Pelodiscus sinensis: one gene and its partners. The protein of the gene in region 2 interacts with the protein of the main gene of each other region in a pairwise test. Links are inferred from orthologs where the notes say so. Each region holds a gene or a part of one and is shown on either strand. Other genes may lie near its edges.

What was found.
Region 1: the proteins of HTT (region 2) and AP2A2 interact in a two-hybrid assay, tested with the Homo sapiens proteins (2 studies listed by BioGRID and IntAct). The link is inferred for Pelodiscus sinensis from reciprocal best matches to the Homo sapiens genes HTT and AP2A2.
Region 3: the proteins of HTT (region 2) and EZR interact in binary tests that used the Homo sapiens proteins (3 or more experiments, as listed by UniProt). The link is inferred for Pelodiscus sinensis from reciprocal best matches to the Homo sapiens genes HTT and EZR.
Region 4: the proteins of HTT (region 2) and WDR91 interact in binary tests that used the Homo sapiens proteins (3 or more experiments, as listed by UniProt). The link is inferred for Pelodiscus sinensis from reciprocal best matches to the Homo sapiens genes HTT and WDR91.

Annotation. Positions count from the first base shown.
Region 1 is NC_134714.1:119,009,202-119,016,432, forward strand, and holds the start of AP2A2 (AP-2 complex subunit alpha-2), read right to left. Parts: upstream 3,007-7,231; 5' UTR 2,892-3,006; coding exon 2,825-2,891; intron 1-2,824. UniProt on the Homo sapiens protein: Component of the adaptor protein complex 2 (AP-2). Adaptor protein complexes function in protein transport via transport vesicles in different membrane traffic pathways.
Region 2 is NC_134715.1:116,690,483-116,698,503, reverse strand, and holds the start of HTT (huntingtin), read left to right. Parts: upstream 1-5,021; 5' UTR 5,022-5,060; coding exon 5,061-5,161; intron 5,162-8,021.
Region 3 is NC_134713.1:112,894,415-112,902,119, forward strand, and holds the start of EZR (ezrin), read right to left. Parts: upstream 3,014-7,705; 5' UTR 2,857-3,013; intron 2,136-2,856; exon of another isoform or gene 2,102-2,135; 5' UTR 2,020-2,101; coding exon 2,008-2,019; intron 1-2,007. UniProt on the Homo sapiens protein: Probably involved in connections of major cytoskeletal structures to the plasma membrane. In epithelial cells, required for the formation of microvilli and membrane ruffles on the apical pole. Along with PLEKHG6, required for normal macropinocytosis.
Region 4 is NC_134711.1:85,552,485-85,559,486, reverse strand, and holds the start of WDR91 (WD repeat-containing protein 91), read right to left. Parts: upstream 3,021-7,002; 5' UTR 2,924-3,020; coding exon 2,801-2,923; intron 1-2,800. Other genes in the region: STRA8 (stimulated by retinoic acid gene 8 protein homolog), read left to right, coding at 4,113-4,259, 6,797-6,994.

The DNA of each region.
Region 1 (7,231 bases), on a different chromosome or scaffold from region 2:
TTAGCTCTACATTAGGGATGCCAATGTGTAGTCAACTATATGATTAACCAATAAGCCTAGGCTTATTGGTTAATCTTGTTGACTACATGCATTTGCCCCTGCCCTTGCAACCTCTGAGGCAGCAAGAGGGGGGAGAGCCGGTTTAAAAGCTGGTTCTCCCAGCACCAGCTCTGCAGTGCCACCTGCCCTAACCCACGTTACTGCATGTCAGAAGCAGCAGTGCAGGGGGGAGGGGAAGAGGCTGCCACAAAGCAGCCTCTGTCCATGGCGGGCCCAAGCTCCCCATGGACAGGGGCTGGTGCCAGAGCAGCCTCTGCCTGCGATGGGCCCAGGCTCACCATGAACAGAGGCTGCTCCGTGGGAGACAGAGCAACCTCTGTCCAAGGGAAGCTCGGACCCCCCATAGACATGCTACTGCCTCGGAGTCAGAGGCAGCAGCACAGGGTGGCAGGGAGCTAGTTTTTAAAGTGGCTCTCCTCGCTGACCAGTTCCTGCCTGGAACCCCATGCTACTGCCTCTGATAGGTAGGCAGCAGCAGGGTGCTCCCTGGGAGTGAGGCCAGAGAACACTGGCTGCTGACCCTGCCCCCTGGGGTCTATAGAATAGTCAAGTAACTGATAAGAATTTGTGTGGTTACTCAACTATTCAATTACCCAATATCTAACATTGCTACTATACATCCAATCTTACTTAATGACCATGTTTCTCCTATTTTCATCTTACCCACACTCCAACTGAGCCATTCTTCCATCCCTTGCCTCCATTACCACTCATTGCATTTTGTCTCAAAAATATGAAGTGGGTGGGTTTTCCTTAGTATTTTAGATTCAGTTTATCAATATGGAACATGAAGAGAATCATTTCAGCTGCAGAAATGAGCACCAGCTTTTTAGTTATCATGGATCCCTAGAGTTTTGGTCATATTCACTTACCACATGCAAAGTTTAATTTCTTCCAGTCATGGAATTATGGTTTTATGCAGCTCTGATTGTGAAATATCATATTGCCTCTCCTCTAGTCTGCATATATGTAGCACAAGCCACAATTCCTAATGTTTCTGTAAGCAAATTAGCTATAGTCAAAAGAAGATAAACTGCTTCCATGATCCCATTAGTTCATCAGTATCATGGAGGAATATTAAAGTAACACTTTCATTGTGAGGGAATTTCTTATAAGGAAAGTTTTACCTAAGTTATTAACACTTCAGCTTAACACATTGGAAGACTGATTGATATCTGACTAACAATGACTAATTTTGTAGTTAGGAGTTCTCATGAACATGCTATGTTTGATTGCAAACATTCTGAAAAGAGTTACCTCTGTGCTTCAATCCAATGCCCAAGGTCACATAAAGGGAAAAGGTGGGGGCAGATGGTGCATGTTAAAGAAAAGTCTGAATTCTTTATCAGACACAGCAGAGTATGTGTGCATGTGTGTGTGTCTCACTCACTCACACCCTCCCTTGCCATCACCCCAAGGCACAGTTTTCTTTTCATGACTCTTTTCACCTCACCCTGGATCTTCCCAAAGATCAGGGATAAAAGCTCTGCCTGCATGTTACATTTAACTAAAATAGATTTTTTTTAAATCAATTTAGACTGGCAAAAAACACCCTTTGCAGGCAAAATTAAACTGGCCTACAACTGATTTGATTTAGCTTAATTCAGTAATATTCTGAATTAGGCTAAATTGCATAACATTAAAATAAAACAGATTTAAATATGTCCACAGAGGCTGTTTGGCTGTACCTGTTTAAACCAAATGAAAGATAGACTTGAATTCCACTACCACAACCTTTGCTCTCAAACAAGGCCAAAGACTCTCTCCACAACACACTGAACACTCCTTTCCATGGGCTGAATGACAGCATAAGAGCTGAAGTGACCCCCCCACCACCACCCAATCCCACATTTTACTCACACAACCAATAACTCAGTACAGGTACTAACCATCACCCGAATGAGATTGTCTCACACAGCACAAGTCACTAAGAAAGAAGTCGGAGGACATAGCAGACCTTGGAGACCTCAAAACAAGCCTGCATGTGGCAGGGAGGAGGAGAGGACAGGCCAGACACCCACTGAAATAGACACACTAGCATCATAGAAACCCTCCAAACCCACCGACAGAGAGTAGTTTATCCCCTGACCACACAACACTCTTCCCCATACAAGCCAAGCCCTCCCAGCATGAACACCCCCTGCAATCTGCCTCCCCTCTTCAGCACAGCCGCCCCCCATGGGACAGCCCCCTGCTAGTGCCCAAAGCAACCTCTCCCAAATCGCCCTCTTGCTAAGGCAGCCACAACTCCACCCAGATCACCCCCTGCTCCTAGGGCAGCTCCCATTAGTGCCCCAGAAGCTCCTCCCAAATCTCTCCTCCTCCCCCCACCTAGGACAGTCCCTACTCCCCCCAGATGACCCCCCGCTAGTGCCCCCCCAGCAGCCTCCCCATGATACCCCCGCCTAGGGCAGCTCCCAAATCACCCTCCCAGGGCAGCTCCCGCTAGTTTTCCCCCCAACAGCCCCCAACCATTATACCCCCGCCTAGAGCAGCCCCTCCGCCAATGACCCCCCCCGCCTAGGGCAGCCCCTCCCCCAGTGACCCCCCCCGCCTAGGGCAGCCCCTCCCCCAATGACCCCCCCCCGCCTAGGGCAGCCCCTCCCCCAATGGCAGCCCCTACTAGTCTCCCCCCCCCCCAACAGCCGCTTCCGAATCGCCCCCCCCCCTTGGGCAGATTCCCCCAATCATCGCCCCCCCGCCTAGGGCAGCTCCCGCTAGCCCCTCCCCCGAGCAGCCACCGGAACCCCCCCGCCGCACTCACAGTTCCGGATGTCGGAGATGAAGACCGCCAGGCCCCGCATCCCGTCTCCCTTCGACACGGCCGGCATCTTGGCCCAGCAGCTGAGCCCGGAGCCGTCAGCACCACGGGACCGCTACAACCGCCGCCGCCTCTGCGCTCCGGCTCTTCAGCCGCCGCCCGGCTGCGCAGGCGCGGGACCGCCCAGCAGGCAAAACAAGGTCTGACGGGGAGGGGGGGGGGGCAGTGAGAAGGGGAGCTGCAGCGCCCCCTGCTGCGTAGAGAGGGGGAAGGTGAGCCACGGAGGCAAACGGGTTAGGTGGCTAAATACCCACAGCCCCTCCTGCCACCTCTCTAGGTGAGGGTAGCTTATTGCAAGGTCCGGACACTGGAGCGCCACAGCGGTACCTGATCACCTGCGAGCGGTATCCAGCGCTGAAGGGCAGCGCTCTGTGGCTGGAAACTTGTCCCTTTCATCATCACTGGTCTTCTAATTCATAACAGATATTACCTTACCTTGTCTTGCTGGTACCAGACCCGGGAATTCACCTTCCTAGCCCCCGCTGGACAGCGTTGTGTGGTCCACATTGGCCTTTGCATCAGTATTTATTATTATTACTGTTATGTTATTATTTACTTATTACATGTTTCCATTATGGCAGTAACTAGAGTGCCCAACCAGTGCTGGGAGGCAGGTCACAATATTTTATGTGCACACAGCAAGAGATGTTAGTTCCTGCTCCAAGCTGCTTATAATCTAAACAGACAAGACAGGGAAATGGTGGAGGAAAAGAAGATGGAAGAAACACTGTCTCAATTTCACAGACAGGGAACTGAGGGATTAAGTGACTTGTCCAAAGTCACTCAAGATGTTGGAAACAAAGCTTGAAATTGAACTGAACTCTCCAGGGCTCAATTTAGCATCTTAACTTTAACGTCATCCTTCTTCATTGTTATCATCTGTTGTAGTTTTGCTGTGTGCTCTCTCAGTTCCTACACCTGAAAAGCACAATAGCATCATTTAGTTTGTAACAGCAGAATATTAGGTGTTTTAATTTCATCAAAATAAAACAAAAAAATCATTCCTGTCAGCCCACACATCATACTGTACTTCCAAAGCCATGGATATGAAGGGGCACAATACATTTGACGATTAGGCTGAGTGAGTTTGAGGTTTTGACAGTATCAGAAATCCTTAAACCTTTTAAATCTGTAAATCACAGTTCTGACATTTGAAAAACATCATAACAACCCACTTCTCATCAAATGCATTTGTTATTTTGTTAATATTGAAAATATTAATCTGTTTATCTGACCAGAACCTTGCTAGCTGAAAGAAAATCAATGCATTTTGCCCTATGCAGTACAATTAAACTGTTGTCCCTATGCACAATGGCAGCCCCGGGGTGGGAGGGGGGGAGATGATTTTTTTAGAGGTGGGATTTTATAATCTTCAGCAATCCACTAATGAAATATTTTAAAGCAAAATTTAAACTAAGGTCCTAACACAGGGCTCGTCTAGACTACATTCCTCTGTCGAAAGAGGAATGTAAATGAGCCCAATCAAAAGTGCAAATGAAGCATGGATTTAAATATCCCACACTTCCTTTGCATATTCGCGTCCGATCGCTGTTTCGAAAAAGGGTGTTTCAAAAGTGAAACCACAGTCTAGACGTGGTTCTTTCAAAAAAAACAAACCCTTTTTCAAAAGAACCCATACTCCTGAAAAAATGAGGAGTACCGGTTCTTTCAAAACAGAGGTTTTTCAAAAGATCTGTGTCTAGACTGCGGTTTCAGTTCCGAAACATCCTTTTGTGAAACAGTGATCGTACACGAATATGCAAATGAAGCGTGGGATATTTAAATCCACGCTTCATTTGCACTTTCGATCGGGCTCATTTACATTCCTCTTTTGACAGAGGAATGTAGTCTAGATGAGCCCACAGTAAATTCAGAAACTGGCAGTATATACCCGGGTGTGGCAAATGCTTGTTAAAAGTCTTCATTGCCACTTGAATGGCTCTTTCACAGGTTCGGTGTTCTGCTAATAGACCTGGCAGGCTTTTTCATTTTTAAGTTAACTAAATCGTCTCTGGAGGAAGCAGAGCCACAGAACATGGATAAAAAGAGGCAGGTGGGTAAGGAAGGTTCTGGTCATGTAAACCACCATCATGGAACATTGCAATATCCAGGCCATTCATCCCTCAAACACCTTCTGAAGATCTCATGTCTAGCATGACAATCATGAGATTCTCCTGATGATCTTTATGCCTATCCATACACCTGAATTAACATGTCTAGACCTGAGATTTGGTCTAGCTCTAGGAATAGTAGGAAGAATAATAATTATTATGCTCTATCCTGATCCATCATTTACATCCTCTAGACAGAGGTCAGAACTTGCTCTTTCTCCTCCATTTGAAAAATAATCCAGTTTGCTTATCTATTACCAAGACCTAATAGATTTAAGGAGTTTTACATAATAGAGAGCATATTCTAACTGTAGCATTGATGTGTTACTGGAATAATAAGACTGACTAAACTCATTGCTTTTCTTGTTGCCAAATACACTGAATCTGAGGCATTAGCCTAAAATCAGGATGAGCCTAAGGTTTTGTCTTCATGGCCAAAAAGGTGGTTTTCTCCCAGTGAGATAACTATAGCATGGTAGTTATCTTGTTGTAAAATTACAGTGGAAACATTTCTTCTGGAGACAAAAATGTGGTGTGTAGAGCTCTAAAAACTGTGGTGACAGTATGTGGCAATTTACGTTCCTGAGAGAATCCAAGTCATGATCCTGAAATTTGTTGTATGCAAGTGGATCCCAAGCCTGCACAGAATCCAATTTATTTTAACAGGGCTCTGTCATGCACATCATGTTGCAGGATTTCAACTCAACAGGCTGAATTCAGTTGAGGTGCGATTAAATATGAAGGCTGAATCTAAGACTGAAATGGCCTATATGTTGCTTATAAATAAGGATCTGCTAACTGTTCTAACCCTATTAATTTCTGCTGTTATTTTGTTTTCTTATTGTTGCTACTACTGTTAGTCTAATTCAGTTAAATATATTTGCTGTGGTTATAATTAAAAAGCCATAATTTGCTTTGTGATAAAGTGTCAGACTCATTCCTGGGCTGGCAGGAAAACAACCCCTTTGCTTGGGAAAGTAGCACAGATGTGTGGCTTTATTACAGAGATATTCAGGAGTGGCAGAAAAAGCAATAGGAAAGCCTGCTTTTTTCTCACTCTATGAAAGATGTCAGTAAGGGCATGCATACATTACAGAGAAGATCAAAGCTACCACTGTCGATCTTCTAGGGTTCAAATTAGTAGGTCTAGTGAAGACACACTAATTCAAACTGAAAGGAGCACTTTGGTTGATGCTGGTAGTCCTGCTTCCATAAGGAGTAAGGGAAGTTGAAGGGCTAGTGTTCTCCCTTCGACTTCCTGAAGTGTGGATAGCGCCAAAAGCCGAGTTAAGTTACTTCAACTTCAGCTACACAATCAATGTGAATAGAAGAGGATGTGTGTCTGGCAGGGAATGGGAAGTTGAAACAGAACTGGGCAATAGAATAAAGGCTTTGTCATTGTGTGGTTCTTTGGGGAAACAGACTTATGTAAATTACACTTTGAACTGAATATATGTGGAACCAAGGTGGGGGTTTTTATGTTGTTTTTAACAGTGTTGGAGCTTTTAGAATTCCATGTATTGCAGTTTGTAATAAAAACATTTTTCGCATGTCTGGAGTAAGATGAGTAAGGTTAAAGGTATACCTATATGTCAAGAACCTAGCAGAGGGTAGCTTAGTGTTATAGTCTCTTTCTTTTTTGCAAGAGCAATGGCTTGGTCTCCTGTGGTTACTGGTCTGGATCAAGATGGCTTCTTGCTTGGTTTTAGTAGTTTTTGGTTTTCCCTCTAACAGCCTCCTTTGGAGTCGGGAAAATATCACTGCATTTCTCACACTTATAATACGTGTCTAGGGATTTGTTTCGTATCATGTAAGCCTTAAAACTTCACAATTCCTTATCAGAATGATCTTGAACTTTCTTAACATTCCATCAATGTCCGACCCAGCAAAATAAATAGCCCTCAATCCCACAGAAGTAAACAGAATTTGAAAGTGTCAAAGCCTTCCAGAGTCAGGTGTAAAAAAAAAAAGAGAAATATTCAAGTACTTGTGGAGGTTTAGAAATAATCCAAATGACTAGAGCATCCAGTGTCCCATGGTGAAACATGGGTTGTTATGGGAATCCTGTAAACAAATACAGTAAAAGCTCTGTTATCCAGCACTCAATTAATCAGGAAGCTCAATTAACTGACATTTCTGATATCTCCCAATACACAGCTTCAGTCTAATAACTGGGACACATTATGCAGTTGCACTGTCTACACTCTACTTTTATGCAAAAGACAAGTAAGGAAATTGG
Region 2 (8,021 bases):
ACATTTGCTTAGGTTTACTTTTCATTAGTTATTACTTTTCATTATTTTTGGATGTTTGTCTGGCAGGTTTTTTTTTGTAAATTTCAAATAAGATTCTCTACCTCTAACTACAACACTTCCTTCCTGTTCTGGCATTTATAATTTAGAACATTATACATTTTAACCTAAGTTTCACATTTAGTTTTACAAACCTCAATCTGATTTGATTTACTTATAGGAATTTGTTGTTTCAATTTGCATTTTATGTATATTGAGTGGTACATGTAATCAATACATGGCATATATTATATTCTAGCCAAACTCATATTTTCATCACTTAATACATACAAAATTCATAATGGTCCACATAGTCTGGGAATGGATAATGTATAATGGGATTATGTTGAAGGAAAAGATACCATTTTTCTTTGACGGAAAAGCTGAAAATTTTGGCATTCTTTTATTTTTGAATTCTTAAACATAATTCAGTTTTAAGGATTACATGCAATATGACTTTGACAAAATACCTGTTTCATTATAATGTCATACTACTATATATTACATCATAATGTTTCAACCATCACAGAATATTTTTTTAGTCAAATACAATAAACAATTCAAGCCAATCCTGTCTGAGCAATGAGTTGCTGAATGCTTAATTGATAAAATGAGGCTTCTTCATTCTACATTGTCGTAAACTTCAGAAAAGAGTGACAGGATTGATTAAAGGATTACAAATAATCTTATAGTAGACACATAGACTGAATACTTTGAATCTTAACAGAGACAAGGTTAAGGGACTTGACTACAGTCTATAGGTATCTCTCAACACGGGGTAGAAATATTGAATACATGTCTCTTCAATCTAGCTGAGAAAGGTATGACATGAGCAATAGCTGAAATATGAAGCTAAGTCAAATTGATGCTAGCATATATTTTAATAGTGAGACTAATTTAACTATTGGAGCAATTTCCCAGGGAACACAATTCAGTGTGCAACTGCAGTAAATTAACATAAATGACTTTCTACAATTATCTGTGCCTCTGAAAACCTGGCATCATAATGAAGTTAAATAATCAAGAATGGACAGGACTAAGGGTACGTCTACCCTGCAACACTTCCGAAACAACTAGCGCTATTCTGAAATAACTTAGTCTGCATCTACACAGCAGGCAGTTATTTTGGAATAGTGTCAAAATACTGTCAAAGTGGAGGACTTCTTACTCTGACTCCTGTAACCCTCATTGTAGAAGGAATAAGGAAAGTCAGAGGAAGAGTTCTCTATTTTGAAATAAGTGCTGTGTAAATGCTCCCAATTTCAAAATGAGCTATTGTGAAATAAAACTGACGTAGCTCAATTTGCGTATCTTATTTCAAGTTAAGCCTGGCAGTGTAGACACACCCTAAGAAAGAAAACTTTAATTCTTAACTTCAGATATAATTCTAGAAAGACTCCTTGGACAATCCTCAATCTTACGTTAAGCATCTTTTTCCGAGAAGATGGAAGCTTAATTTGTGTAGTATGAAAATCTATTTCAAAGTGTCTTTTCTTAGCAGGTGGAGCATATACTAGCCATATAACTTTCCTAGTCTATGCAAACTTCAGCACTTAGTTTTCCAAAAGCTGCATATATTTTGTTGCAGAGTATTTGTTACATTGATTAAATTTGCCTTACTTTTTCTAGCTGCTATAATGTGCATAATAAGGGGATTTCAGTTAAATGGGTTCAAGCAGCCAGTTATATTAAAACCAGCAGTTGAAACTGTGGAAAATTCAGTGGAACCCTACATTGATTTTTTTGATTTGCAAAAATTGCATTTATAATGACAGAAGTATTGACTTAAAAAGTAGTTTATAACAGTATGCTGCGAAATTAGTATTACTTTTTCACAAAAGAACAAAGGTACCCTTGGTACAATTATAGGAAGAAGAGGAGCCAGGTGCTTTTCTGTAAATCAGAGTACTTGGAACAAGTTTTATCTTCAGAAAGGCAAACATTTTCAATTCAGTGATGCTGAATATATACAAGTATGAATGATTCAAAGTAAGAGGTCTATATAGAATCATGATTCGATGTAGACTCACAGATTCTATAAAGATTCATATGAATCATACAATCATATGCAAAATGTCATGCTGGCATGAAACACAGTACTAAAGCCCCATTCTTAATATAACCCTATTTTAACTTTGACCGACATCTGTCTTAAAACTATGGCTTCGAAAACAGAAAAATGGGATCTAATTCAGATTAAATACTCTGCTTAGCAATGTATCACTGGTTCTTTTCAGTCTTTTAGCATGAGTTCTTGTAATGTCTCCTTTTAGCCAATGTCAATATCTTTGTTCTATAGTCCATGTGGTAATAGTGGAAAAATTAAGAAACCTTAATTGGTTTTTCCATTTCAACAGAATAAAAATCAAGAGGACGTGCTACTTGGAAAGTAGGTGTATACTAAGTGCACTTACTGGAAACTTGTATATTCTGTAAAACTATATTGAGTACTGATAGCACAAGTAGTGTTCTGGAGTGTAGAATGAAAGTTGTATAAAAATACTATTTGATCTTTGCAACCTGTTCAGTCTAAAGTAAAAAACTACTTTTAAGAAGTGTCTTTGAGCTTAAAGAATTTTTGTCGCTGTACTCAAAGAGAAGTCATAAACCTCATTGTCTTCCTACTTCGTTTATGTGAGTACCAGCTACCTGAACCCTTAGACAAGGAGACAAATGATAGCATTTGGCTGGTGCAGACTCAGAGGCATCGTCTTTTCTGTAGCAATGTCTTAGCTCAGCTTGTCTGATCCACCTGTAATTAGGAGAGTGTACCCAGATAATACTTTCAAGCAAGAAATGAAGGAAACTACTGCTGAAAACTGGATCTGAAAAAAGTGAAAGGATTTCTAGAGATATACATGGAAGAGCTCCATTCAAATTTTGTCACAGGTATTTTCCTTTAAAAGTGCAAGATGGAGCTCAGAGCTCTACTTACCCTGCTGTCCCTTTCCTCTGCATCCTGGTCTGTTTTTAAAACTTGGATCAACCTATCTAGTTATGTCACTCAAGGGTGTGAAAATTCATTTTTCAGAGACACAGGCAGCCTTCAGAGACACAGTTATGCTGCCTTAAGCCTTGTTGTTGATATCATTAGCTCAATGGAAGAATAATTCTATCAACCCAACTACTGCCTTGCCACAGGTGGATTTACCACAGCAATGGAAAACCCCTTCCAGTGTTGTAGCAAGTGTCTACACTACAGCACTATGGGAAAGTAGCTGCAACTCGTCACTAGTGCTTACAGGGTAGATTTACCCCATGAGGTGTATAGACGATAGGCCAGGGATGGGCAAAATACAACCTGTTGGCTGGATCTGGCCCATCTGCCACTTCTGTGTAGGCTGCCTTGGTTTCTGGCAATTAGGACCACAGCAGAGGATGGAGTCCAATTGCTGGTGCCCTGCGTGCTGCAAGGTGCGCAAGTGTGAAGGGCTGACTGGGGGATGCTAGCCTCAAGCTTGCCCCTTCTGCCTGAGGCCCTGCCCCCTTCTGAGTCCTGGAGTTAACTTCTCCCCTCCCCAGGAGTCTGGCAGCTGTGTAATACCCACTGGAGACTTTTTCTTCATTGAGTTTTATTTCTTCTTTTCACTTACTAAATGTAAGTTGTAAGTAAAAGTTTAGTATTAGTATTATTACAAATTTAACAAGTGTTCATAAAATAGTTTGCAATATCAATTGCCTTCTAAGAGAAGCTGTGGATAATTGTGTATTCAGTTAATTACTAAGTGCAATTTGTTGTATAAAAACATAATGGAGCCTTTTCATTAAAATAGTAGAACTTTGTGGCCTGTTTTTGCAGAGGGATCATTCCACAAATTAGTGCCCATTCCTGCCTTAGCCCTTGGATGCATGCATGTTGTTCAATTTTAAACCTACAGGGATGATGTCATTCAACTCAACCTTAGGATATGGGTGTATTACAGCAGCAAGTGTATGCCGCTAGAGTACTGTACCTTGTATGCTTCCTGGATCTATGGAAGTGGGTTTTTCTGAAGTTCTGAATTACATAATCCACTTCTGCAACAGGTAGCAGAGTCCTTCCACTGCTTTAACTCAACCTTACCCTTGCTCTAGACATATCTAAGTCTAACTTTCAGAGAACAAACTTATTTACGCCCTGAGCTCCATTTCATTCGCAAATAGGAGTGTTCACATCAGAATTTTATGGGCACTAGCTTCTTGTCTGTCATTAAGTCCCCTGTCATGTTCCTGACTATTAAAGGACAGACAACACCATGGGGCCTGAACCTAGTAGCAACGGAAATACAAGATCTGGGTGTAGATGGTCCCTTAGGTTGCTCTAAGTAGGGCATACCCCCAGCGGCCCTCGTGCAGTCTGCTGTGCGCTGAGGATCATGGGTTGTGGGAGCCCAAGGGAACGAAGCCAGCACCATGCGACCGGCGGACTCTGGCAGACCGGCCCAAGTTTGACATGAACCAAAGGGGCACTAGGACCCGACAGCGACTTTCGCGAGAGGAGGCGGGGCAGAACGGAGTGGTTGGGGGCGAGGGGAGTGCGGATGAATGTATGCCCTCTCAACCAAGTTTGTGTTTATCTGAAGGGTGACCCAGCCTCCCTCGCTAGTGGTGATTTGGCCAGTATTCCTGAGCTTCCTTTCTGATTGGTGGTTGAGGCTGTCACTCTTTAGTTTTCCAACCCCCTCCCTGAGGATAGGCCGGGTTCAGGGGCATGCGCGGGGACCTTTGCTCTCGGCCGGGCAGGGAGGGTTAGCGTGGGGGATGATGGGAGGTTTCCAAAATGGCGGTGAGGCGGTTTCGAAGTGATCGCAGACCCCTGCAGCGTCTCCTCCATTCATTGCAGTGACGAGCGGCGGCGCGTGCGGACCCCGGCGGCTGCAGACACGGCGGCGCGGCGGCCGGGGCGCGGCAAGCGGAGAGTTTCTGAGGCCCTAGGAGGGGGCAGTCCGTGCGCTGAGAGGGGGCAGGCTCCACGCTCCCGGGCGCTGCGAGGCGGCTCGGGGAGTCCGGTCCGGGCGCTGCGATTGCCTGGCCCCTGAGGGAACATGGCCACTATGGAGAAGCTGATGAAGGCCTTCGAGTCCCTCCGCTCCTTTCAGCAGCAGCAGGGTCCGGCTGCCATTCCCGAGGAGCCGCTCCAGAGAGTGTGAGTGTGCGGCCGCGGGGCGGCCAGGCTAGGTCGGGGGCAAACCTAGGAGGGGACCATAGAGCTTTCTTAGAAGCTGCCGCCCCAGCAGCGGGGGTGGAGTGGGCGGGGGAAGGGACGCCCGTGGGGGGGCCTGCCACTGGTGGGGCGGATGGGCCCTTGATGTTGTCTCTTGAGCTGACGGATGCGTGGCGGCGGGTTCCAAAGCAGTTGGGTTCCGTTACAGGAACCCAGCAAAAGGCTCTCACCAGAAAGAAAAGGTTTATTAACCTGCTCCGCAGTGAGGGTCGCTCCCCCGAGTAGAGCAGCAGCTTCTTTAGGCCGCTGCTATCTGCTACGTAGATATATACACACACATACATACACCTCGTGACAGCCAGGGAGCCTCTCGCATGCTCTAGCGAACTCCTGGAATAATAATAAATAGTAATTCACGTGTGTGCCCGCAAAGCAAGGCTGGTATTCTGTACTCAGCTGGCCTTTTCTCATTGGAAGAAGATAATTTAATAAAGTATCCTGGTAATTGGGTATCCAGAGTCTAGCATGTACTGAACTTTTATTTTTGAGGGGGAAAAAGAAGCTTTATGTGAAAGATCCTTGGTCGGTAGTTAGGTTTGTTTTTCTTAAAGCAGCAGTTCTGTTAAAACAGACAAATTATTATAGTAATTATGATGTATACTATAAAATGTGAACTATGAGACTGATATGGAGGAATGAATAACTTTAAAACAGCTAAAACAAAATACAGGACTATATAGCACTTGAAAGACTAACAAGATGATTTATTAGGTGATGAGCTTTCGTGGGCCAGACCCACTTCTTCAGATCAAATAGTGGAAGAAAGTAGTCACAACCATATATACCAAAGGATACAATTAAAAAAATGAACACATATGAAAAGGACAAATCAAATTTCAGAACAGAAGGGGAATGGGGAGGGGAAGGTAAATGTCTGTGAGCTAATGATATTAGAGGTGATAATTGGGGAAACTATCTTTGTAATGGGTAAGGTAACTAGATCCTTTGTTCAGACTCAGGTGTAAAGTGTCAAATTTTAGCATGAATGACAGTTCAGAGGATTCTCTTTCAAGTGCAGTCTAAAAGGCTTTTGAAGCAGGATGCAGGTAATTAAGTCGTTGAGACAATGTCCTTTCTGGTTGAAATGGTAAGAAACTGTTTTTCTTTGTGATCCTAATATCTGTTTTGTTGGCATTGATCCTTTGGCGAAGTGTCTGAGATGTTTGTCCAATGTACGTAGCAGATGGACGCTTTCGGCACATGATAGCATAAATTATATTTCTGGATGCACAGGAATATGTGTTCTTGATCTTATAACTCACTTGATTGGGTCCAATAATGGTATTGCAGAGTGAATATGTGGACAAAGCTGGCAATGGGGTTTGTTGCAAGGGAAGGTACCAGGGTTGGTATTAGTGAAGTATGTCCAGTTTAGTATCCTGTTCCAGTATGGGCTGTAGTTTATTGATAATGTGTTGGACAGGTTTAAGTTGGGGGCTGTAAGTAATGACAAGTGGTGTTCTATTGTTGGTTTTCTTGGGTCTGTCTTGAAGTAGATGGTTTCTAGTCTGGCTCTTTCAATGTGCTTTTTTATTTCTCCGGGTGGGTAGTTGAGGTTTATAAATGCTTGGTAGAGATCCTGAATTTTCTGGTCTCTGTCAGTGGGATTAGAGCAGATGCAGTTGTATCGAAGGGCTTGACTATAGATGATGGATCGTATGGTGTGTTCTGGATGGGTACCCTGGGTTGGAATTGCATCCCCAGAACTGTCAGCTGGCTGTGGCTTTGGGTGCTGGTCCATCCCCCAGCAGGACTCAGGCTCTCTTCTCTCCCCTTTCAGGCTTCAGTCATCTCCATGTCATTATCCCCACACACTTATTTTTTAATAAAAGTCCTGAATAGGTCCTGGGAAATAAACAAAAATTAATTAAAGCCCATAACCTGTCTGTGAATTTTACTAAAAATAAGTGTCAAATTCTTAACCTTAATGATGACTGTTCTGGACTCTTAACTATAATGCTTGGGTAGAGGATGAGTACAAGGAGCTGTTCAGTGCTACAGTGCTGTAGTAGCACAATCCTTGTGATTTTCTTTTTAAAGTCTTGATGGAGCAGGTGTAGAGGGCCCCAAATTAAAATCTTTATTGTCTAAATGCTGAATGTAGAAAACGGTGTTCTTCCTGATTCCCAGAGTATGAGGGAAAACGGAAGGGCTGTGGGTGAAGTGATTTTTCTGACATCTATGTAGTGAAATTATAGTTGGAGTTGGTTCCAGGATATTAGAGACAAAGTCGATGAAGTAATATCTTTTATTGAGTCACTTCTGTACACTAAAATATATAATCTCCCCGATCTGTCTTTCTGTTTTCTGACTTGCTGAATGTTACTGAACTGCCAGAAGGAAGTCTGCAGTCCTGGTGTACACCCTGATGTGGGACTAGTTAAACAGTTTCCTCTCATATTTGGAGAAAGTAGCAGTGAATGATTCCCTCCTCCCATTTTTATTTTTACAGGGAAGTGTTTAAGAAGAATAATGCTCATATTCCTGACCTGTCCTTGGCTGCTTTCTTATGTGGCAGTGGGATGATCCCAGTGTTTGTGTATCTGTTGTGCAGGTGCTTCTTACAATCTTGAGCAGGGGGATAGTAAGTGGACTCTGGGCTGAATGTGTTTCACCAAGGCTAGCCCCTGGCTGGCTGCCAGTCATTTGTTTACCTGCATATCTGCAGGCACAACTGCTTACAGCTTCCGTTGGCCTTGGTTCTCTGTTCCTGGCCTGTGAGAAGCAGTGATCTGCCCATACCCACAGTTCCTGATAAATGCAAAATAATGCATTGGAAAAC
Region 3 (7,705 bases), on a different chromosome or scaffold from region 2:
CTGAACTCAATGAGCTTTTGATTAGGCCTTTAGTCTCCTGAATGAATTAATTTTTTTATTTGGTACATGCCTAAATAGCAACAGGTTTTCCATGAATTTGTAGCAATGTTGGAAACAGCATTTAAAAAAAAAAATCACAACTGCCCAGAAAAAAAAAAGTTTTCTACCTAAAAATCAGGCCTCTTAATAAAATCCTATATAGCATTTCCTGTGAGCTGTTAGAGAAGAACGCTTATATTAATGTTGACTTTGACTTGACAGAAACAGAGATAAAGGACTCTGTTAGAGAGACACATGCTGTACCTACCCCATATGATAAAACAAGATACTGTAGTTGCAACTTTGTTAACTGCTAACCTTAGAAGTTGCATTTGGGAACATAAAATACCTCTCTCTTCAGTTACTTAAGGATTAGTATTTTTCTACCAACATATAAAGGTTTTAAAACACAACATAAAATGTGTTTGATTTTTAAAAACTTCTGATTTTTAGCCTAGAAAGAGCGTTTTACAGTTATCCTAACACAACAAAGCACTGATTTTCAGAGATGCTGAGCACCTGCAGTTCCGATGAGTTTTAACACCCAGCACCTTTGGAAAACCTTGGCATGCTTGTCCTAGAAATGACCCGCTCAGTGAATTTTAATTTCCCATATTAGTTTCAATATCATTCCAAAGAGCACAGTATCATTTTTATCAAGCCTCCCATCCCCAGTCTAAGTCCATTACTAAACCCATTTTCAGATATAAATTGTGGTGGAACCAGAAAATTCTTTGGTTCTGATGGCTTCATACTGACAGCATTTAGAAAGAATCATTTCTATGCTTTACAAAGTATAATTCTTCTCTTTTGGAATGATTATTTTCAATAGCAAATGAATTTTTTTTTAAAAAAAAAAAAGCCAAAACATGTAAGTCACTAAAAAACAGACATAGCCTCAGAAACTTATCAATCCACAGGCTATATATTAGCTCTTTTATGAAGGAATGCATGTATATACACAGCTTTAAAGCAATGCTGAAAAAATACAAAAAATTTACCAGCTAAGGTGTAACTTCTGCTCATCCATGTTAACCATAAACAAACAAAATTAATTATATTTTTGCCCACTGAAAACAGTTACTTACTCATGGGTAGTAGAGTTTTGCATAGTTGAATTAAGGTATATAAATACTAGTATAAAAATTTAAAATTAAAGATGTTTAAACAAATAATTTAACATTTAAATTAATTGGAGGATCAAACTTCTATTCCTGATTGTTAGAATTATAACATTGTGTGTGTGTCATTTAAGTACATCCTCACTTCCACCTGCCCCCACCCAACATTTGATTTTTAAGTTGGATGGATATATGGGTTCATCATGCTGCTTTGCTCTTCTAACAATTTGGAACTGGCATGGAGGACTCAAATTACGATGTATTAATTTATATAATCCTTCTAAACATAGAAAGAAAAAAAACAAGGTAGGTGAGGTAATATATTTTCTTGAATATATTTTCTTGAATCAACTTCTGTTGGTAAGATATTCAAGCTTCTCCGCTTAAACAGAGCTCTTCTTTGGATCTAGGAAATACACTCAGGGTGTTGCAGTTAATTACAAGGTGGAACAGACAGTTTAGCAAAAATAATTAATAGCTATTTCACAGGACCATTCAAGATGAAAGAGACCATTAGCACCCCTCTAGTCATGGGAAAAAATAGACAGAGGGAGATAGCTGAGAGGAAAGTGGCACTATAGATGGTTATAAACCAGTGTCTCAATTATTCCATCCATTCTTTTTAGTGTCTAACTGTTACACATTTAAGCTCCGAGGCTCATCTTTTGAAGGGGCTGCTCAGATTTCCTTTGATGATGAGAACTGAGACCAGATATACTATAGAGTGATTGGTTTGTGAAAATTATTAGAAGGAAATAGTCACCTAAAAAAAGTAAGTTACTAATATAAAAACATAAAAATGTATACTAAACACCACAAGATACAAGACATAAAACGTATCACTCACCGGTTTGGGCATTTTCAGATCTTAAAGCGGTTCTGTTATTCCAAAAACAAATGGTCATGCAGTGGCTTGAAGATCTTTTTTCTTTTTCGTAAATCTGGTAACAGGTGAGTAGAAAAAGTTCTCTTTTACTGAGGAGGAGGTAAAGTAAAAGAAGCTTAAAATCTCAGTTCGGTTTCTTAAATAACGAGGGAGAGCAGCAAAGATGATTCATACGTGACCCACAATTACTAGGGAACTCCACTGGTTTTATTTTATTTAAAAAAAAAAACCACATAAGTGACCTCGCCCAGTGGGGGAAAAAAAAATCCATCTGCAACCAGAGAAGGTCATTGGGCCAGACACACCCATAAGCCTAAGTACAATTTCAACACCTTTCCTAAGCGGTATAAGATTAATAACCTGGGAAAGGAGGAGGGGGCGGAAACTGGAACCATTGTCAGCCCTTGGTTTGCAACACAGGGACCGCTCCCCCGACGCCTGCCTGCCAGCAGGTCGGAGAGAAGCACCGAGACCCTCCCTCACAAAGCAGCTTGCCCCGACTCCCGGGGAGGGCAGGCAGAAGAATCCCGCCCGAGGGGCCCAGCAGCTGCCTCCCTTTGCCCTGAAAGTTAAAACAAGGACCGGGAGGGAGCCCGGCCAAGCCTCAGGCGGGCTCTAGCCTACGGTCCGCAGACACCACGACCCGGCAGGGCTCGCTCGCCTGCTCCCGCTCTGCAGGCAGCACCTGGCCCCGGGAGCCCCAGGCAGGCGGGGAGACCGAGCGGCGGCAGGAGACGCGCGCTAAGCCCCGCAACACCTGTTGCCTGCGCCACCCCGTGCTCCCCCGGCTCCGGCTGGGAGACCCCTTACCCGGCTGTCTCCCTGCGGCGACTGGGCAACACCCGGGACCGGACTGGACTGGCAGCGGCCGGAGGGTGGGTTGGGCTCCCTGTGCGCGCCTCTGACCCCGCCCCGCCGCTCCCACTGCTGCAATATGGCCGAGCGGGCCCCGCCTCCCCCGAGCCGCGCCTTCCCCTGTGTAGACAGCCCCGAGCCCGGCTCCCCGCGTCCACACGCGAATGCAGAGCGCCCTCCCGGCGCCTTGTCAGCCTGGCGCCCATCTTCCCCCTGGAGAGCCTGGGCAAACACCGCGGGGCATGCCAGGGAGCAGCCAGGGACGCGCGTTCTTTGCGCCAGCGTAAGGGAAAGAAGCAAAGCAAAGGAACGAGCCTCCAGTGACAAGCAACACACGTGCCTGGGGAACTTACCCAGACTTGGCTTTGTTTGGTTTTAGGGCTACTGGGATTTGGACAAAAATTCTCCTTCCCACCAGCCCTTTTCCTCCGTGTGCTGTGCTCCTCTCCCTTCAGGTAATGGGAGGAAGCAGTTGCATTGCAAGCACTTCTGGAGGTGCGCTTATATTTGTCTCCGTTTTTTACCCTCCTTTATCCTTTGGGGCTGAAAAGTGTCATGCTTACTATAAAAGGGGGGAATTTGGTTGTCTTTTTGAAAGTCTTCACATTTTCATGGATGGAAGTGGTTTGATTACTGTGCAGCCAGATTTTTTCACACTTTAAGAAAACTTTCTGACACTTGCTTTGGCTAGCTCATTTGTATGTGTAATGTCACTGATATAGTCAGGGATGTAGTGCTAAATTTGAGAATGCATGGAACTCTGCGGAAGTGATATTGGTGATTAATTATTCTGTCACTAATTTTTACCAATAAACTTTATCTAATGGAAAGTCTGCGAACCATCCGTTATGAGACTTCACACACTAGTGTCTCTGTTTATATATTTTAGAGATTTTGTGCATCTATCTGAGAGGACTCCTCCAAAATGATTAGAGTCAGGACCACCAAATTTGGTATCCTAACTTAAAGCAAGTCAAGGCTTGGTTTTGCCAGGACAATGGGGATGTGCTTGGAATTCGATTGTTTTCTGTAACATGGAAAGGGAGGGGTCTGAGAGGAGGGACAGTTATGCTCCACCATGACCGCAGGGAGCACAGGGGACAGTTATATTGCAGAGTGACCACAGGGAGATTGCTGCACCAGGAAGAGAGTGGCCAGCCACTGACCCAGATAAGTGCCCCCCCCCCCGCCCAGCTCTCTGCTATAACACCGGATGGGGGGGGAGGGGCTCAGAAATCCCACCAGCCAGTAGGCCTGGCTCCAACCCCTATGAGAAGCCACTGAGGGGAGCTGGGCAGTCCAGCCCCACCCCTACAAGGAGCCAACAGGCAACCCAGTTCCAATCCCATTCCCCTCCTGCAAGGAGCCACTGTGGGGGCACTGGGCAGCCCAGCCTCGCTTCCCCCCCAAGATGAGCTGGCAGGGGGGCTAGTCAGTCTGCTCAGTCCTGCTCTCCTCCCCCTGAGGAGCTGCTTGGGTGCTGCTGGCCAGCACAGCCCTGTCCCCACCCCCCTGCAAGGAGCCACTTGGGGGGGCCACCAGCCCATCCCCAGCACACACACTCCATGAGGATCCACCAGGGGTCTGGCCAGCCCCACCTGTCCCGGGAGGAGCTGTATTTAGAGCAGTATCACCCTCACTGCCACCAACAGACCAGACCCAGTGAGCCCCCCAACCTCTCAGCCTCCTGGTCTGAGCTCCTTGCCCTGAGCCCTCAACCCCTGCACCTCTATATCCTCAGGCCTCCAAAGGACCGGAGCAACACAAGGTGAATCTTCTAATAATATAGATGAAGATATAGATATATAAAATATCAACATTAGCTATCTGTAACTCAGTATTTATGTGATAGAAATGTAGCCGTGTTAGTCTGGTGTAGCTGAAACAAAAAACAGGACTATGTAGCACTTTAAAAACTATATAGCACTTTTCATATGTGTTCATTTTTTTAAATTGTATCCTTTGATATATACGGTTGTGACAATTTTCTTCCACTATTTGATCTGAGGAAGTGGGTCTGGCCCACGAAAGCTCATCACCTAATAAACCATCTTGTTAGTCTTTAAAGTGCTACATAGTCCTGTCTTTTGTTTCAGTATTTATGTGACAGACTTTAAGTAGCAAGGCATATCAAAAGCACAATACAGTTAGTAAAAAGCCCATGGATGGGTCATGTAAAATACCAGTTTTACAACATCAATATTCTCTGCAAACTTAACATAAGGGCAAGATTCCCTGATATGCTCAATAAATCCAATTTAGCTGGATGATCAGACCAAGTTGGTCGAGGTTGTCTAGTAGACTCTACTTATTCTGACAGCACTCATGCATCCCAGTTGCCTGGTGTACATCCTGCTCGCTGTCCAACACCTTTGGCCTACTGGCCATAGCCCCCAACATTCCCCACTTACCCCCAGTCCCTCACTCCACTGCCACCCAACATCCTCTTCATAGTCCAACAACTACTCACTGCCAGCAACTTTCCTGGTGACTCATCAGCACCTCCCTGATGAGGGCTTAGTAGGGCTTAGTGCTCTACTCCTGTACCCAGCTACTCCCAAACAGGGTCACTGCTTGCTCCTCCTCCCTGTCAAACTCACACAACAGGCAACAAATTTTAATAATGAATGGTGTCAGGAACTGGTGTGTAGTTCTGCAGCACCTCCCAGGTTTGTCCCAGGACATCTCCCTTCATGAGGGAGGGGTAGCTGTACCAAACCTGAGTTGTGTTGTAACTCTGCATACCTGGTGAATTGCTGGAGTACCTCTCTATCCTGGATTTCAGGTGATACAGTAACTTTCTAGACTGCTTTGGCAGCATGAGACCCTGGGGTATACTGCAACAGTTTATTCACTAGCAATCTATTCCTTCCGCGCTTGACGATAGACTAGTCAAAGAGGCAGAAAGTTTCACAACCCCAGAAGCAATATTTCTCTCTCTCTGTTTTATCAAGTGACAAGGGATGGATTACTTGATGATTATCCACTCTGTTCCTTTCCTCAGAGGCACTTGGCATTGGTCACTTTTGGAAGACAGGATACAGGGCTAGATGGCCGTTCAGTCTGGCCTCGTATGGTCATTCTTATGTTCTCTTAATCTGTTCTGCTTTTCTGAAAGCCCCAGCCACAGGAGACATGGTTATATGTAATATTTGGGTTTGGCTGCAATACCTGGGTCTAATTTTGGTTGCTGGGTTTAATGTGTGGGTAATGGTAGTGGTGGTTGTCTGTGTTGTACAGCAGGTCAGGCTACATGATCTGGTGGTCCCTTCTGGGTCAGAACACTATGATCTGATAATCTCAGTTTTTGTTTCTATTCAATGTTTCTAGGTCTCATGAGTACAGAAAAAAGCCTGAAAACGTAACTCAAGTGCATCCCAAAGGCTTAGAAACCAGAAGGCAAAATAAAAATAACCCCTATATTAATCTTGGAGGCCTTTCTTTTGAGTTTTGATTATGAAGTTTCAGTGGTACTATGCACCTGCTCCTCAGTTCCCCCGTTTTTCACATGCAAATATGCTTCTGTGGATAAAGCAGCAGGCAGCTCCTTCAAAGCTTACTGTGCACCTATCCCAGCTTGTACAGTATTCCCTCCATAAGAACAGTGTATAGCACTGCAGGCCAAAGGCTGTACACCCATGCCACTTATCCCTAGGGACACACCGTTATGTCCATAGTTGCTCCTGGAATCATCCAGTGAGGCTTTACGAGCTCCCTCTGGACCAGAGAGCAAGCAGTGGCTGTATCCATAAGCCTCTCTGAGGTTTCCTCCCTACCATCACTAAAATGGAGGTTAATTTTTGCCCTTTTTCTTCCCTTTAGCTCTGGCTCAGCCACAAAACTTGGCAAAGCTACAATCCATGTATGGGCAACCCCATTTCTTGTGTCCAGGCTGCCCACATTGGTAGCAAATAAATGTGACGCCTCAGCTGGAACTCCTTGGAATTTCCTTCTACCTGTCTATGCCTGTTCCTGCGTTGGGTTCTTCAGTCATCCTCCCTGCTCTGGACCCTTATATGGTTGACCATCCTTTTGGGGAAAGTCTGCCTCTGAATACTGATCTGTTAGTTTCATGGCAGCATCCATCATGCCCAGGTGAGGTTTCATGACCCACAATTGTATGGTCTCAGGGAGGCCCTAATATCATAGAATCATAGAATAATAGGACTGGAAGGGACCTCAAGAGGTCATCGAGTCCAGCCCCCCGCCCTCAAGGCAGGACCAAGCTCCACCTACACCATCCCTGACAGATGTCTATCTAACCTGTTCTTAAATATCTCCAGAGAGGGAGATTCCACCACCTCCCTTGGCAATTTATTCCAATATTTGACCACCCTGACAGTTAGGAATTTTTTCCTAATGTCCAATCTAAACCTCCCCTGCTGCACTTTAAGCCCATTACTCCTTGTCCTGTCCTCAGAAACCAAGAGGAACAAATTTTCTCCTTCCTCCTTGTGACACCCTTTTAGATATTTGAAAACCGCTATCATGTCCCCCCTTAATCTTCTTTTTTCCAAACTAAACAAGCCCAGTTCATGAAGCCTGGCTTCATAGGTCATGTTCTCTAAACCTTTAATCATTCTTGTCGCTCTTCTCTGTACCCTTTCCAATTTCTCCACATCTTTCTTGAAATGTGGCACCCAGAACTGGACACAGTACTCCAGCTGAGGCCTAACTAGTGCAGAGTAGAGCGGCAGAATGACTTCACGAGTTTTGCTTACAACACACCTGTTGATACAACCTAGAATCATATTTGCTTTTTTTGCAACAGCATCACACTGTTGACTCATATTCAACTTGTGGT
Region 4 (7,002 bases), on a different chromosome or scaffold from region 2:
GCAGGATTTCAGTGTGCCAATTTCTGATGGCCAACATGAGACTCAGAAAAAAAAAAAAGAGATTCTATGCTGGTTACAAAAACAATAAATTGAAACTGCTTAAAATCTTGTTTACTTTTCACCATCAGATATTATCACTTTATTTTTTGCACCTTTTTTGCAAATCAGTGACTTTCTGGGCCTTATGCTTGGATTTCAGATATACTGCAGGAGGTTTTCATTTTATTCAATAAGATTATTATACATGGCTGTGCAGTTGGTGGCAGAGAAAGTTTGCCATCTATAAAATATCTAGATATAGGCTCCGAACAAGGTTACAGTATCATTTATTCCTTGGGCAAACAAAGATGCGCTCACTGGAATTCACAGAAAATGAATCCTGTGGATCATAGTGAGACTGAATCCAATATTTTGTTTTCAGAGATCATAAGTTCTGTATAATTCTATATAAGTATATATAGTGTCTATCTAATGCTTAAAGCTTCCAAATTGTTCATATAAAATAATCTGTTAAAAGCTCATGAACAAGAGTGGCTTAAGTCAAAGTTGTTGATTCCCCTCCAGATCTTTCTGCCCTTACATGATGAGGTTGCCTACAATAGGGACTGGACTCACTGATCCAGGAAGTCCATTCCAATGCTATATCCTTTGTCATATTAATACCATATTCAACTACAGCTCACTTTGAAGCTATGAGCTAGCTAGCAGTTAGTTCATAAACAGATGATAAAGTGACGGGTGGAAGGGGGGCATATATGTACTACCTGCATGCAAATTAAATTATGTAGATTACAAAGCATTTATTAGGAACTGCAGATTTTCTTTCAATTGCAATATAAGGATCATAATAACAACTGCATTTCTTATAGCTGCTTTCACAGAATATTGCATTCTGCATAGGGTTCATGCTCTGCAATACAGACAGACGTCCACAGCTTTCTAGGAAACTCTGCCCTATGTTCATGACAAATGGCAACGGCAATCCATAAATCTTACACCTCTAGTCTAGGTTACTGTAAATTATTGTGTCTCAGAATTAATGTGTCAATAATGAAGAAGCCACAGGAGGGACAAAATGTGGCTGCCCACCTCCTCAGCGAGACAGACAACCACTAGCTTGTAAGTTTCATCCTCTGATCCCACCTCTGGCTCCCAATTCACTCCTGTTGCCGTTCAAAGCCTTGGTCTTTAAAGCTCTGCAAAGGTCGGACCTCGGCACATAAACAACCTTATTTCCTCCACTGACCTGCTAACAGTTGCTCCTCTCTAGAACAAGAGAGTTTACACAACCCCAATTGACACACATGGTAGCTGGAGATAGCATTATCAGATGAGAGAAATAAGCTATGTAGGAATAAGCTTCCAGAGGAAGTAAGGCTAAACTAGAATCCAGCAACTTTCAGGGTACATTGCAATTGCAATACCCTCCTTTTTTAGGGGACTAGAGAGATGGTGTGGGTGATGTACTGTCTGTTACTGGACTAACATATATTGCTTTGTCCACACTTTCAGTGCTGTGTTGCCTCTGTAGTGCTTACAGAAGATGCCAATGGAAGTGCTTCTCCTATCAGCATATGACCTCCACCTCCCTAGAGTAGCTTGTTCACATAGTGCTGTCTACACCGGGATTAGTTTGGTATAATTATGCCACTGAGTGACACAGTTATACCAACATAAATTGGTAGTGAAGACCAAACCAAACAAAAGCTTTTGAGCTTACACAGAGCTCTTCTTCGCCTCTGGGAAACATACTCAGGCTATGTCTGCACTAGCAACCCTGGCAGCACCGCTGTACCAATGCAGCTGCACTCCTGTAAGGTCTCCCATGTAGCCAGTCTATGCCAATGGGAGAGAGCTCTCCCCACAACCTCCAACGAGTGGTGCTAGCTAAGTTGGCAGGAGAGCATCTCTGGCTGACACAGCACTGTCCACACCAGCACTTCTGTTAGTGTAACATGTCATTCAGGGGGTTGTTTTTATCACAACCCTGAGCAACATAAGTTACAGCAACAGAAGTGCTAGTGTACACATACTCAAGAGTGTCACTACTAAATGCATAGCTGGAACAGAATTTAGCATAAGTAATTAACACATATTAATTAACACCGTTAAAGGTGAAGTGGCCTGTTTTGGTCACCCCTCTTTAAGGAAACATTTCCACTACAATCAGCAACACAGTTACAGAAGTTACTCCTTAAACAGAGAGTCTCTCCTACCAAGGAGTAAAGAAAAGTAGAAGACTCCACTAAGTCCACTAGGGATCTCATTAGGCAGCTGTAGCATCTCAGGGAAGCACAAAGATACAGGAACAGATGCTGGAAACTCTAAACAGAGATAATGCCCTCCCAACACTAAAATCCCCAGGTACCTCAATCCCACAACAGCACCAAACAGTCAATAGCCTGGCCCGACTGTTACACAAGGAACTCAGCTGTGCCCATCCCCTCGTCCCTCACATGCCCGCACCCCACACCCATCTCATGTGCTCATTACAGAGCACAAATGACTAAGCCTACAACACTTATTTATTACAAAGCAACTAACCCCACACCAAACCCAGAGGGTCCAGCACAGAGTGTGTTGGGTGTCCCGCATTCAGGAGCTAGGGGCTCTCCCCCTGCCCCCCAGCACATTCCTCCCCCCACTCCATCCCACCCCACTCCCAGGTACCAACCCCTTTCCCGTCCCCCACTTCAGCCCCCGCCAGCAACCTCATTCCCTCCCTTCCAGCCCCCCACCAGCACCGCACCCCCAGGCACCGGCTTCAGCCTTCCCACCCCGGCCCGCCAGGCGGCCTCACCCGGAAGCCCTTCTCCCTGTCCGCCTTGATCTCCGCATCCAGCTGCTTCAAGGCGCCGGTGAAGCCGCGGAAGAGCAGATACTCCCGCACCAGCTCGTCCGTGCGCTCAGTCGCCGCCGCCATCGGCCCGCGCCCCGGCAGCCAGGCCCGGCGCCCAGGAGCCAGCCCCGCTGCAGCGAGCCGGCGGCCTCGGCCTACGCGGCCCCGCCCCCCCGAGAGTGGCCCCGCCCCCGCCCGCTGCGCCCCGCCCCCTAACTCACCCCTGGCTGCCTTCCCCCGCAGGGGGCGCGGGGCGGGACCGGGGAAGAGGCCGGTCCCCTGACCGCTGCCCTGCGCGGTTGATTCCTGCTGAAATCCGGCCCCGGACACAACCGCGCGCTACATCGGCCCTTGCTCTGCGCCCGTCTCGGCCCCACGGGACAGCGCCGCCGGGCCGAATTCACACGGTGCTCGGAGCCACTTCGCTGCCTCCAGCAGCGCGGCTCCTGCCTCGTTGACGATAGGAGGATGCCGCTCACTAAAGCGCACCCGCCCCGTGTTCATCGACTCCAGTATCCAAAGCGCAAAGCCAGGCGGGTGCGCTTAGAAACTCGGCACCTGCCGGGCCTTGCGGAACAGAGGATGCAAAATGACAGGAGCTGAGCGGCCTCCTTTTCCAAACTCCTCCCGGCCCTGTCACTAGCAGAGACTACAGCGCCCGGCGTGCCGTGCTCCCCATGGCTCACCGCGGGCCCCCACGCTGCATGCCGGGCTTTGCAGGGCTGTGTTCGCAGACCGCACTGTCTTAAAACACGCTACTCCCTGCTGCGCTCATTGCGAGTTCCGCACCCCGCTCCGGAGCCCAGCAAGATCGCAGTGCGACTGTCAGTGGGAGGGAGCCTGGGCTTCCCCTGGCATCGGCCACACACTTCGGCGGAACACCGGGTCCCTCAGAAAGAAGGGATAAGGCACCAGCCCTTTAATTCTTGGGATGCCCGTGAAAGGCAGAAGGGGGCTTTTGATACCGCACATAGGAGCACGTGGGTGTTCAATCTCCTCGCCCAGTTCACACTCGTACAGCCCTGAGTGCACAAGTGCAGCGATGCATGGAGGGAGGCGCCCCCAGCCCTACAGGGTCACCCCACCACTCCTCGCTGCCCTGCCCCCGCCCTGCACCTCTTCCTCCTACCACCACCCGGCCCTTTCCCGCGCTTTTGTTGCCTTCTCAGGCAGTGGCTACAGCGCCAACGTTCTCCCGCCCGTCCCCGGCGCTCTCCTATTGGCCTTTGGAGGCTCCCCCTGAGCTGTGATTGGCTCCCTGCCACGTGCGGCGATGTTGCTGGGCGGTGGCGGCAGCACACGCGAGCTGTTTTGGGGGAGCTGCGGCAGGGGCTGGGACGTGGGAACGGGCGGGCTAGAGCCAGTCGGGCCGGAGGGATGCTCCGCAGAGACGCCAGAGGCCTCCAGCCCCTCGAGGACTGTCTGTAATTGAAGAGAGCTGGATAGAAATGGGGAGCAGAGTTAACAGGGAAGGGGTAGAGCTCCCCAAAAGGGGGCAGCGCCTGTAGCAAGGGGGGCAGAGCTCAAAGGGAAGGGATCGAGCTCCTAGAAAGGGGAGCTACAGAAAAGGGGAACAGAGCTCATCCTGACGGGGTAGCGAGCCCCATAGGAAAGGACTGAGCCACGGGGAAAGGGGGGCAGGTTCATGGAAAGGACCAGAGCCACAGAAATGGGGGGAAAGCCAAAATCTATATACGCAGTGGGGCAGGACTCAGAAAGGAAGGGCAAAGGTCATAGAGGAGGGGAGCCAGGGCTCTGAAGGTGCAGAAGTTGCTGCTGATTCCTAACGGGTCTCTTAATCTGTGTTTATATGATTTTAAATAATATGAAAGTCAGACTTTAATGAATTCTTCTATGATTCTTTACAATGTCTCTTTCTGTAGTGATCTGAAGGACGTATTCAGGCTTTTAAAAGTGATAACTCTGTTTGATCTTTTTTTTTTTCTCGTTCCATTATAGAACTTCTGGGACCATTAATAATAATAAATAAATATTAATAATCTCTCTCATTTGAGCGATAATAACAAAATTGTCAGCAACATTCTAATTAGTATCTTCATCCAAACATTTCAGTGAAATGTGAGGGCAAGCCAGTTTCCCCTGAATCAATGGAAATTTTAAAATTACAATATACATAATTTGTTTTGCTAGTATTTTAAATTATTGTGAAAGATGGAAGGAGTTTTTTTAGGAACAGAACATGTAGGAATATGAAAATGTGATGCAGTTGATACTTGACAGTCTGCTCAGAAAGGATGCTATTTATACAGTCTGGCAGTATTTTGAGAGGGAAATCTTCCAATGACTTCCAATAGTATAGTAGCTTTGCATGTGTAAAGATTGTGGGATTGAGCCATATGAAATTACCTGCTTCATGCTTCTGGGGTATTTTCAGCAAGCTTTTTCAGACTTTTTCTGGAGATAGTGTTATGCCCTCAGTATGCTTATTTGAAGCAAAATACAGGACTATGTAGCACTTTAAAGACTAACAAGATGGTTTATTAGATGATGAGCTTTCGTGGGCCAGACCCACTTCCTCAGATCAAATAGTGGAAGAAAATAGTCACAACCATATATACCAAAGAATACAATTAAAAAAAATGAACACATATGAAAAGGACAAATCACATTTCAGAACAGGAGGGCGATGCGGGGGGGGGGGGGGGAAGGAAGGAAGGTAAGTGTCTGTGAATTACCTTAATTAATTAATTCACAGACACTTACCTTCCTTCCTCCCCCCCCTCCCCCCCCCCCCCCCCCGCATCGCCCTCCTGTTCTGAAATGTGATTTGTCCTTTTCATATGTGTTCATTTTTTTTTAATTGTATCCTTTGGTATATATGGTTGTGACTATTTTCTTCCACTATTTGATCTGAGGAAGTGGGTCTGGCCCACGAAAGCTCATCATCTAATAAACCATCTTGTTAGTCTTTAAAGTGCTACATAGTCCTGTATTTTGCTTCAGCTACACCAGACTAACATGGCTACATTTCTATTACTATGCTTATTTCTGTGTCTAAATCCTCGTGTAAAGGCCATCAATAATGTATGGAAAAGTAATTGTGAAGTTTTAATATTTATTACACGTTCAAATTTTATTTCTCTGGCATTTGCCATTATTGAGAAAGTCATACAGATTTTTACACCACAAATAGTAAATTGATACAGTAAATCATGGATACCGTTCTATAGTACAGTACAAAATCAATATATCTGATATTTATGCCATAGGGAAACCAACAATTACCTTAAAATATAATTTCCTAGGTGTCAGTACTATTTTGACCACCCTAATTCAATTTTAACTATACTATTTTACCAGCATCTGATCTGTTCCAACTCACAATGGGTGTTTTCCCAGTGTATTCAATGGCAGTTTGGGCCCTTAAAAAAGCAGGTAACACTATAAAAAAGTAATTTCTGTTTCTGTTAAATGTAATTTCTGTAAGTATTTTCCTTTTTTCTTCACTACTAGCATTTAACTGAAAAGGGAATTTAGGTGACTTTAGAAGGTCTGCTTCTATTGCTTATTCACCTATCCCCATCTAACATAATTTACTGTGAATTCCCACTTGGCTGAAAATGTCACAAAGAACAGTGCCATCTAGTGATTTCAGTGGGAATTTGGAGCACTCAGCACATTGATTAACTACATCATTGCAGGGCAAGAAATAACTGCCCCATCTGCTTTAATTTCGTGTGTTTCAAACTGCAGTGCACATCTAGCCCACCACTAATAGTAGATCAAGTTATAGTACATATTGTTAGTTTGCTTTCATAGGGAAAACAGAAAGTGATTTAATATTTCCTTCATAACCTGCTGGAAATGAGCTGGATTGTTCTGCTTCAACAGTTGTCTCAATTTTACTTGTTCATCTGCCCATCACGCATACTGTAGACTCACTCTATTTTGAAATGCTATTTATTTGTTTAGTAAAATGTAACCATTCCGTTGCAGCTTTTGATGGAGACATCTGGTGACTGTAGCAGCCCATGTGTCAGGGTAACTCCTGGGTTCCTTACACATCTGCAAGATTTGGAGCCCCAGGTGGCAAGAAGACGCTTATCTCAGGCACGACACCGGGCTACATTGGCAGGACTCTTCAACAACCTGCGGGAAACTGTTTATTCTCAGTCCAACAATTCAGCATCAAAGGTATGGAA